Linked DNA regions of Oryzias latipes. The protein of the gene in region 3 binds, or shares a complex with, the protein of the main gene of each other region. Links are inferred from orthologs where the notes say so. Each region holds a gene or a part of one and is shown on either strand. Other genes may lie near its edges.

Evidence for each region. The genes of interacting proteins can lie anywhere in the genome.
Region 1: the proteins of nup93 (region 3) and nup35 are in contact, whole or in part, in a crystal structure (PDB 7MW1), measured with the Homo sapiens proteins. The link is inferred for Oryzias latipes from reciprocal best matches to the Homo sapiens genes NUP93 and NUP35. Residues at the interface, in NP_055484.3 of Homo sapiens: Tyr266, Tyr269, Asn402, Ala407, Asp408, Lys409, Thr410, Glu411, Tyr413, Tyr448, His452, Phe453, Val455, Asn456, Leu461; in NP_612142.2 of Homo sapiens: Ala88, Pro89, Pro90, Val91, Arg92, Ser93, Ile94, Tyr95.
Region 2: nup93 (region 3) and nup54 share a complex: the UniProt entries of both Homo sapiens proteins name them as parts of the p62 complex. The link is inferred for Oryzias latipes from reciprocal best matches to the Homo sapiens genes NUP93 and NUP54.

The regions. Positions count from the first base shown.
Region 1 is NC_019879.2:12,115,216-12,118,968, reverse strand, and holds the start of nup35 (nucleoporin NUP53), read right to left. Parts: upstream 2,831-3,753; 5' UTR 2,551-2,830; coding exon 2,538-2,550; intron 1,431-2,537; coding exon 1,263-1,430; intron 1,189-1,262; coding exon 1,055-1,188; intron 1-1,054. UniProt on the Homo sapiens protein: Functions as a component of the nuclear pore complex (NPC).
Region 2 is NC_019870.2:10,484,472-10,488,224, forward strand, and holds the start of nup54 (nucleoporin p54), read right to left. Parts: upstream 2,494-3,753; 5' UTR 2,350-2,493; coding exon 2,307-2,349; intron 2,016-2,306; coding exon 1,911-2,015; intron 1,135-1,910; coding exon 1,054-1,134; intron 895-1,053; coding exon 859-894; intron 375-858; coding exon 288-374; intron 1-287. UniProt on the Homo sapiens protein: Component of the nuclear pore complex, a complex required for the trafficking across the nuclear membrane.
Region 3 is NC_019864.2:28,049,500-28,053,152, forward strand, and holds part of nup93 (nuclear pore complex protein Nup93), read left to right. Parts: intron 1-11; coding exon 12-84; intron 85-1,450; coding exon 1,451-1,495; intron 1,496-3,102; coding exon 3,103-3,219; intron 3,220-3,291; coding exon 3,292-3,410; intron 3,411-3,488; coding exon 3,489-3,606; intron 3,607-3,653. UniProt on the Homo sapiens protein: Plays a role in the nuclear pore complex (NPC) assembly and/or maintenance. May anchor nucleoporins, but not NUP153 and TPR, to the NPC. During renal development, regulates podocyte migration and proliferation through SMAD4 signaling.

The sequences.
Region 1 (3,753 bases), on a different chromosome or scaffold from region 3:
CAGTTGAGTGAAGTATTTTGTTTTAGTGTTAGAAACCAAGTCCTTGTATTGTAAAATCCGTTCATTGTATATTTCCTTATGGACGGGAGAGCCAGTTTTTTTGCAGAGCCGCTCCAACTGGCGGCATTTGGCTTTCATTTTATGGAGTTCAGGGGTGAACCAGGGGGAAGATTTAACAAATAAAACAGACCGGGTTTTTACAGGAGCGAAATTGTTAAGAACATCTAAAAGGCAGTTATTATAAGAAAATATATAGAAAATGTGACCGGAACTTCTTTTTTATCACTGTGGATTATCACTTTTTATACCATGGTCCGGTTGAATACTCAATTCTGATTGGCTGCTGGGTATGCATTAAAACATGATAACCGCACGGTGAAAAAAGAAGTTCCGGTCAGCTAGCTTAAACGTTTTGTATCACTGCGCCAGCTTCTTTAAAATAACCTTTTGCTTCATCATCTGGACAAAAACAAGCGGTAAGAGGTGATCTTTCTCTCTGAACTGATGCTTTATTCAACCCATCGGGACGATCAGCATATATATATATATCGCCGAAACTTGACTGCAGTGGTGCTGCAGATGCGCTGCATAACGTAACATATAGTCTGCTTTTTGTGAGAAAAACGATCCAAATCGAAAAAAAAAAAACAAGAATTAAGGACTAAAACCTGGTTAGTATGTATTGCTTTTGTAACTGACCATGGTATAAGCGGGTTAATGGCCTTCGAAGTGTGCATTTATTACTTTTTAACGCGCTTCGCGGAAGCAAAGTTCAGGCTTCCACGGCGTGCGTTAAAAAGTAATAAACGCACACTTCGTCGGCCATTAACCCTTACTTAATGCACACCCAGCAGCCAATCAGAATCAGGTATTTACCTGGACCATGGTATAAGTTTTTCTAACTTTGTGGTATCAAGTTAACCTAAATGTCCCTAGCTGATGCATCAAATTCATCACATGGAACTCTAACTCTCCAACAATACAGTAGAAATCTTAAGCAGTTATGTTTTTTGGTGGATGCTGCAATGCAACAATTACTTTCAAGCATACAAACCTGCCTGTGAGCACCGAGGGGCGTGCCCATTGTTACCAGGTCGTCATGGATACTGCGAACAGGAGGAGCTCCACTCTTGTCTTTAGGTGTTGGGACAACAGGCTGCATGGGTGAACCGACACCGCCTGGTCCTCCTGCAAACACAGTTTCAGGACAAATGACCGTACGGTTATCCCAAATGAGGCAGCGGATGCGTCCCCCAGCTCACCTCGGTGTGCACTTTTGCTCTCTGAGATGGGGGTGGACAGGCTGAAGGAGCGGGGCTGTGGGCTGGCAGGAGCAGGAAGATCCCCCAACAGGAAACCAGGCAGAAACTGAGCTCCAGAGGTTGGTTTAGGAGAGGTGGGAGAACCCAGACTCATTGGTTCAGTACCCACTGAAACAGACAACATTTTATGCTCAGGTTAGCAGCAGCTTTCTGTTATTATGCAGCAAGAACTGGAACGTTCAAGATCTTTGTGTCTTCATTTTCTCACCCCAATTACCTTTTAGGCCAGGTAAAAATCAATGATCAGTAATCCAAAATAATAATAAAGAGTAAACACCAAGGACGACATCCAAAGCCATCTTTATGACTTCCTGTAACAGAGGAGTGACCTTTCTCAAAGCGTGTCTTGCTTCTTTTCGGTCTACTCCTGCCTTTGGTGCTTACCACAGGTGGAAACCATCAGCAAGCCGGACACCCCTGCCTTAAAGTATGCTAAACTAGACATGTTTCAGCAAGCTAAGTTCGTCCAATCAGCATCCTATATGCTGCTCTCTGGCGTTTGTATGAAGGAAATCCATCGCTTCAAAATGGATTTTACTTTAAAATTCATCCAAAACAAAAGAAAAAAAACGTTGAAAAAAGAAAAGAAAATTGTGTTTTGTATTAAAAAAAAAAGAAAGAACGGCTTTAAACTAAATAGTCAGGACTTAGAAGAGATGTCCTCCTCTGATCAGCCCATCGAGGGGCTGTGACTGTTTTTGGACGGATTTATTTATTTTTTGCTGTAAATATTACACTTAGAAAAAGTTCTTTTGGGTAGGAAAAACGTTTTAGAGGCTCTTTGAGGCAGTCTGATTCACCCCAGCAGATCACTTTGACCCATCTATTGAGAGCTACATTAGAAATGTGAGGACCAAATGTCTGAATTATAAAACTTTAAAGCATGAGAAGTTAGTGAGACGTTACTTTTCATAGTGTGTAAATGGAAAAGTGAAAGACTTTTCTTCTTTTGAATCAAGATAAACCTCCGGTAAAAAGCCACTGCAGCACATAAAACATAAAGCAATCCGTTATGAAACAATAAGTGGATTGGTTGTTTTAACAAACCAAAGGTTGACCAAATGTTAGCTAGTTTACAATTATCTTGTCAGTCTCTAGTAGAGAAAAATAAACGTCGATAGAAGCTGCCAGGAAGTACCGGATTAAGTTAACTGTCTTTAAAGTGTTTGCATATTTTCCCCATAAACAGAATAATTTATTTAAAAGTCGGTGTACCTTGTAGTTCCATTTGAGCTTCTTTAGCCGCGATTTTCAAACGTAGGAAGTGACGATGGAGAAACTGATGGCTAGCAGAGGTATTTACCCTCTAAAATTCAGTGTTCTGATTCTTATGTCTGTTTATATTCAATAAATAGTTACAATGAAGGTTCGGTTTCAATCGATGTATTAATCGATTGATTATCTGCTTCCACAAACCCAGTTCTTCAACTGCTTAATGGATCTCTAGCGTGGGCTGACGCTAAAGCAGCAAGCCGCTCGCTCCAGGCTCTTCTAGATGACGTCATTGACATGATGCATTCAGGTCTGTTGTTTTAAATAGTAATTGCTAGATCCTCAATATGAAAATACGACATTGTGTGTAGAAAAACTATCGGCTTGGGGCCTTTGTATGAAAAGGCAGACACATATATTAAGCTGAGAGCAAATATTACCATAATAGATCGATAGAAATCATGGTTCGAATTATTTACGTTTACAAGATTATGAAGATGTTCTTTGAGCGGCATCTGTCGGTATGCAGTTAAGTTACGTATGAACTAATGGGTAAATTCCAAGAAGCAAACATGTTTTAGAATCAGTCTTTTACAGTAAAAATGTCCTTGCTGTCAATCTACCCGTGGTTCTGTTCGAAATTTTGATTTAACAAAACCCGAACGCAACAAAGTACGTCATAAAGACGTGTCTGTCTATTTTCAAGTTAATCAAACACGTCCATCATAAAGCTTCCGGTTTCAATGTAAATGCGCATGTAAACCACAGCTGCTGAATTAGACCTAATACATAATTTTTAATGGAATATAAACTCCTGATCAAAATCTTAAGATCAGTTAAGAAAATATGCAACAATTTGGATTTATGAAAGGTTCTAAAAAAATGGGTCTTCAACAAAACCCATTTCCGTTATTCTTTTAAATTAAATGGTTTGTACAGAAAGTTTGGTTTCTTGTCCCCACTTCTTATTCTTTTACGTTATAAAGTTTTACTTAGAACCTTGTTATAATCTAGACAGAAAAAAATGCAAATTCATGCAGTTTCTTAACTGGCCTTCAAATCCCACTTTGACGAAAATTGTGATTTTGTTGTTTTTGTGGCATTTGTATCATGATGAGGACATAAAACAAGAAAGTTAAGCTCAAAATTGCATTTCTGAGAATTTCTTTATTCAAATTGTTGTGAATCGGGAGCAGACCAAAAACGCTGTTGGAAAAGC
Region 2 (3,753 bases), on a different chromosome or scaffold from region 3:
TACCCCTACATAAAATTGTAAACAATCTTCCAATTTGATTTCATTTTTGATTCAAGCAAATATGATAAAACATTGATTTATTTACTACATTTCCATCGCTAAAGCATTTATATTTTGTAATAAAAAGCATTTGACATAACTAGTAGTTTAAACTAAACAAAGGTGGAACATCTATGCAGAATTTAGTAACTAAAATGGCCATTTTTTTTCTCCAAAGGGTGACTGATTCCTGCTCATCTTTAGTGTGACGAGCACAGTTGATCTCTTTCTTGGAACTTGGTGCTGACCTGTTGTGTTGGAGGGGTTGACAAAACTAAAAGAGGATCCCGGTGCAGCAGCAGTTGTAGTTGTTGCCCCAAAGCCTCCAAAAGCGCCTGGGAGGTGAAGAAAATACAAATAAATGTAATACAAGGAGGTGACCCTTAAGAAGAAGCAAAAATGAAAGAATAGAACCATAAATGAACACAAAAACAACATCACAATTTTTAAAGAAAACAAATCGAGACATCAATACAGCATTGCTCTGGAAACTAACAGTCAAATGGAAACCATATGGGATGAACAGCTTATAATTGCACAAATGTTATGCAAGTGGAACTACAGTAAACCAAGTGAACAGCACACAATCAAGCATCAAGTGAAATGTGGGGGGAAAGTGGACAAATGAATGAAGATGTGTTTTTTTCTTTTAACAGACACACAATGAACTGAATCACAAAAGTCATCTACCTGTGCTAGCCAGGCTATTACCAAAATTGAAAACAGAGCCAGTGGTGGTTGCTGTACCAAAGCACCCCACATTAAAGCTCACTGCAGCTGGGTTGGCATTTAAACCAAACCCCCCAAAACTAAACCCACCAGCCGTACTGCCTCCGGCTCCGAGCCCCCCAAATCCTGCAGCCGGGGAAGGCAGGCAGCAAGAAACAGAGAGTGACACGGAGGGGTTACAAGAAATTAAGCCAAGCCTGGCATACATTTAGAAGAAGAGGAGGAATTTGTAATAAAAATAAGCTTGAGAAGCAACACACGAGCTCTTTCTGTGCCGCATCTTACCAGTGTTGGTGGAGCCAAAGCCGAATCCTGTGGCTGGTGCGGTGGTGGTGGTGGCTGCCCCAAAACCAGGAGCTGTAAGAGCTATGAAACAAATCAAGCAGCTCATCAAAGATATGAAACCTGCCCTCAAAATAAATAAGATATAAAAAACAGTGTAAAATTAAACAATCAAATGAATGATCAAATATAGTTTACTAGCCCTATTTAGGGCAACTAACCCACAAGCATGTTTATTATTTGATAAAATATTCATCTGGATCTATTTCATAACTTGTTTCATAAATTGGAAACAGCAAGATTATAAAAATGTAGGGTTTTGTTTGGCCTCAGTTTTCTTTTCTTTTCTTTAAATTGTACATACTGTAATTTTATTCCACTGCACTGAGATTTTGTTATTTTGGTTTTCAATCTACTACAAATAAGTACATCATCATGATCAGAGTTCCTTCTGGTTTGTTTTAAGATATTTTAGACCTGAATTTAGTCCATCTTTCAGTGGATTAAACAGTCATTCTCTCCAATGGATCAAGCAAGTAGAGAATTCAGTTTCCCACAACCACCAGGCTAAAAGGAATTTCAGTTCAAGCCCCACTGATCACCTGTTGATCTATTGTAAACGCGTTACCAAGTAGTCTTTTAATTATGATTATGCTGTTTAATAATAAAATATTCATCTGTTATAAAAATTTAAGACTTAAGACTCTGCAGGTTAACAACAGAGCAGTTATGAAAAATAAATCTAACTGGTCATGTGCTTTTTTTCTTCGTTAGCAAATAAAAGGAGCAGGAATGGGTTAGAAAGCCCCCGAATATTACATTTTCCACAGCATCTAAATGAATTGAAGACGCAGACTTACTGCCAAACCCGGACGAGGCGGTGGTCGTGATGGCTGTCGGGTTAAACCCAAATGTGGACGCTGTTGTCTTGGCACCAAAGGAACCAAATGAAAACCCGGACGTACCTTTGCAATGACACATGATACAGAGCGCTGTTAACGGCAGCTAAGTACACATAGCTCAACAAAACCGTGCTATTTTAAGTATTGTCAAAAGCTTTTAATTGCGTAAAAAAATAAAAGCCAGTTTTCGCAATTGACCGTAACTGTAGCTTAACGGCAGTTGCTGTGATCCGCTAGCACAGCATATATATAACTGACATAAACACACAAAAAACATGACAGCATAGCTTCGATAAATATATATTTACTCCTAACTAAATAAATATGATAAAACTTCACAAACAACAGACATACTTGGTGCTGTGTTGCTCGTGGCACCGCCAAAACTGAACGCCATGTTGACTGCTTTGGGAGCGTTCTTCTTCTTCTTCTTCAGAAATAACAGTGAGCGAGTAGGATCCAAAGGAGCTCAGTCCTACCACCTGGTGACCGGGAGCCGCAACGGCTTGCGAGCGTCAAAAAAGCTCCGTACCGCCACCTGCTGACCATGACCCGCAACGGCAAGAAGCTCCAAAGGAGCTCAGTACTGCTCAGGGTTAGGCCACAAAACTAAATTAATCAATAACAAAAAACAAATTGATTGAAAACAATTCTCAACAAGTGCAGACAAATGTAATGGAGCTTGTGAAATGCACATCTGACAGTATATATTACAATAAAAACTATTTTAACAGGGAATATTTGTAAAATTTGTAACTGGATCCCTTCCAAAGGAAGAATAGATTTCAATATACTAGAATATAGACCTTATGTCTAATACAGGCTCATAGTTTTCCTGATGTTTATTTGGAAAAACACAGAATACACAACATTTCCTCTTCCCTCCTAATTCACTATAAAACATGTCTTTTTCTAATTATATTTAAAATGACAAATAAAAAATAAATTCATTATTATGAAAATGGCAGGGTTGAAAAAATATTTACTAAATATGACCAAAACAAAAAGACAAAAAACAAGTACACATCCACTTAAGCTACTTTTTATTTCTGTGTGCAGATCAAAAGTAACATTCAAAAACAGGTGAACAGGCAGGATACTCAATGGTTACATTTGCAGCAATAATTTCCAAGATGAAAATGTTGATTGAAATGTGGCATTACAAAGAAATCCAGTCGTAAGCATGTGAGGATGATCTGTTTTGGTTTTATCAATGTAACAAAATAATTTATTCCCTTCAAAAACAACTACAGACATTGCATAACACTGTCTTGTAACATATGAGACGGAAGCTACCAATTTATTCGCTTGTTCTCGTTAATCGAAATCAACTACATTATAAAAACGTGTGGATTTGTTTAGCCCTCAGTTTAATTATTGTACATAATGAATTTTAGTTTGCATGAAAAGATAATAACACAAAAAAACTCAAAAGGAGAAAAATCTCAACAGCCTGATATATACACATGGATTATTACATAGTATGAAAGAATCTAAATCACAGATGAAGTGCTAAAACCAGTATTGGAGCCTGCACAGAATAAACTGAGCAGCTTTTTATTTGAGGAATACAAGATATGGCACATAGAGACACTTTGACCATGGAGGCTATACAAAAAAAAAATACTTCGGTCACATGTTCTTTTTTTCTTGGCATCTGGACGGAAGCTAAAAAGTTTCATCAGAAAAATCAAGTAAAGCAGTAACACTGGTTCATGTTTATTAAAAAAAAAACATGTTCTGCATTATTTATATCAGTTAGTGGAAGCATGTTAAGGACACACATCATGTCTTATTTGGA
Region 3 (3,653 bases):
TCGTCCTGCAGTAATGAAAAGGACAGCCAGGGAGAAAACATGTTCATGCGGTGCGTCAGTGAACTTGTTATCGAGAGTCGAGAGGTGAGTGGACCACGGTTTCCTACCAAGGCTTGGAGAAATATGTCTGCGCCAATAAATCAGTGCTGTTTGACCCAGTCAGTAGAGCTGGATTTGATATCAAACTCCCTCCGCTGATGGAAAAAAGAGACGGTTTTAGTGTCGCCCATTGGCTATATATGAGAACTGGACAGAGTGAGTGTGATTTCACATATAGAAAATGGTTTAGGCTACGTTCACACACACGTCACACACATGTCGCGCGTTCTTGTACGTGCGTTTAGCCCATGGCGTTTACACTTAATGAGTAGGGAGGGGCAACCTGTTCTTTATCGTTTTTTTTTTTACTGTTTGGAAGAGATTTGATGCAAAATGTGGAAGCGGTGCAAATGCCGCGAGGCCTTTTTCTTTCTCAGCTCCCTTCTGATATGTGAAAGACTTTCTCCAGCCGGAAAAAACATACAAAACACAATTATTAATTTCTCCTTCATGATCAATTTTCAAATGTGAATTTAAAGGGACGCCATCCATACGTCAATACCAAACCCAAGTCTCTGATTGGTCAGTTTGGCGCATATATGAGCATTTACATTGACTTTTCATTCAAGTTGGTTGCTTTAACGCGTGTTGCCAACGTAGCTTCACTTCCCGCCACAACCAAATGAAGTTAATTCATTTGACTTTTTCTTTTGGCGATGTGGACATTGCTGCCATGTTGGAGCCCGACAACCTCAGTAAGCATTTGGTCTGAGTCATTGTCTCCATGGCAACCACTCTGCCTCTCAGCTTTGAGCGCGTTTGAAGTCCACACCGCTACCTCTTGAAAGCAGGCTAAACGAAATCTGTCAGACGTTTCAAACGCTGGCCTTGGGGCCCAGCAGGCTCCACCCATTTCTGTCGATCTGATTGGTCAGTTTATAACTTAAATAACTTGAAGTACAGAAAAAATAAAGGCAGATTAGCAAGAAAATGTAAAAAAAAAAGGAATGGATTTTCTGACCAATAGAATGACTGAGGAACAGCTGTTGATTGATGGGATTTTGGCTTCTTGGAGCCACTTCCTGTTTGGAACGCCATGGGGGAGGAGTCACTCAGTCCAGCTGTCATATAAAGTCAGTGGTGTTGCTGCACCAGAAGAGACATTTTAACTTCAAATTGGATCAACATCCTGATTTGGGCATTGTACCTTAAAATGAAGAATTTTTGTGTTACTAGTCACAACCTATTTGGTGTGCAGACTTTTGAACTATCTTAGTGAAGCGTTTTTGAATTTTCTGTCAGAAAATTTGACTTGTGAAACACGAAAAGTGCGACTGAGATGTTGCTGCTTAATCTCACAGCACAGATGAACCGTTGTGACTGATTTTTTTTTTTTTACTTTTCCTCTCAGTTTGACATGCTGCTGGGGAGATTAGAGAAGGACGGCAGTAGGAAGGTAAGAAGATTGAGTCAATCTCCCCTCCTCATTTATTTAATCTAGCTCTTTCTATTTGCCCCACACCTTCTCTCCATCTCTTTTCCTTCATCCGCTTCCAGATTTTTCTTTCTTTCCTCTCCTCTTTGTTCCCGCCCGGCACGATGTTCAGTCAGAAGTCGTCTCCTACACATTCAGCGCCTCACATCCAGAGAAAGCTGGTCACCTTTCAAGGATCAGAAGCCTCAAAATCTGCATTTAAACCTACATTTTTTCTCTTTACATTTCTCACGGCGCCTGCAGCACTCTCTCTGCGTGACGTCTGAAGCTGCTTTTGTTTCCGCACATTTTTCACGGCTGTGTTTTATCCCACACTCTATTCTGGGTACTAAACACATCCAGAGTGCGGCTCTGAACGCGTCTCACGCGCGGTTTGATTGAAGGCTTTGTTGGATTAACCGTCGAGCTCCTGGCAAGTTTGAAAATGTGTGCCGGCGTGTTTTGATGTCCATTCAGGAGAAGATTACGTTTAATTTCCTTCCTATAGATGCTCCACATACAGAACATACGAGGCGGACAAAAAAATGGAGATGGCTGCGTTCTGCAGGAGGCATCAGCGTGAACTCCATGACTCTTTCAACACACGTCTTTTTACCCATGTTGATTAATTACTGATAAGAAATTCTAATTAACTCCATGTATGATGTCACCTTCTTCTTCTTCTTCTTCTTCTTCCCTCTTTCCCACGAATCTCACAAAAGCAAACATTGTGCCTGACCAAGCATTAAAACTCATGTACTACCTGTTTTTATTTTAATTTATTAGATTTTTATGATTTGATCACACAAAATGTTCTTTTTTATATCAATACTATTATATTTTATTGAATAATAAAAAGCATTCACATCATAGATAATTTAAATCAGAAAAATAATATGCTTAGTTTGAGTTTATTTGTTTATTTATGAACAACGGATTTAAAAAAAGTTTAGAATAAATTATATTTGAAGAAAAATATCAATTTATAATTTCAAAAAGGATCAATTAAGATCTATCATTTTACAATTATTTTAATTCCAGCCTTATTTAATATGATCAGCATCTACGGTGTATTATGTTGGGAAAACTGACAGAAGCCAGAATTACTACATAAAATTAAGTAAAATAATAAAACATTTTTTGTGTGTCTGGTTTAATTTTCTTTAAATTTAAATCTTTATGTAGAAACGAATTAAGAATCTGAGGGGTCATAGAAGAAATGAGAAAAAAATTAATTCAAATTAAATGCAATTCAGCAATTTTTCCATTAAGTTAGAAAATGATAGTCATATTCAGTCACATAAATGTCTTCATGTGGTTAAAAACTATTATGTAACAACATTTTAGTGAGATCAAATCAAATGAAACTTTATTTATAAAGACATTTTCATACACATGCAACAAAACCACAAACGGATGTAAAAACAAACAAGGATTTATGGATCAACTGACTGTTTTGAGAATTCACAGAGTTAACAGGTGGAGAAGGAAGCGGAGCCGTCTGAGCTAACAGGACAAAACTGGATTTTGATTCACACTCCAAACCTCCGGCTCAGCTTCTCCTCTCACTCCTCTGATCCCCTCTCCAGCCCGGCGTGATCGACAAGTTTGCCGGAGACACCAGAGCGATCATCAGTAAAGTGGCCTTAGAGGCTGAGAACAAAGGCCTGTTCGAGGAGGCGGTCAAACTCTACGAGCTGGCCAAGGTGAGCAGAACTGCTGGTCTTTGCTGCTCTCCGCCGAGCCGGTGGTCCTGAGTTCCATTTGTGCCCCCGCAGAACCCAGACAAGGTGCTGGAGCTGATGAACAGGCTGCTGAGTCCGGTCATTGCCCAGGTTAGCGCGCCTCAGTCCAACAAGGAGAGGCTCAAGAACACCGCCGTGGCCATCGCAGAGAGGTGAGGGGACGCCGCAGGTGCGCGCCAACAGTGACGCTACGGATGCTAAAAATGACCCTCCCTGTGTTTCTGCTGCAGGTACCGCTGTCAGGGGATCGCAGGGGAGAAGGGCGTTGATAGCACCTTTTATCTGCTTTTAGACCTGATGACATTCTTTGACGAGTACCACGCAGGCCACGTGGACAGAGCCTACGACGTGAGCGCAGCTCTGATTTAAAAAAAAAAAAAAAACACCGGAGGAAA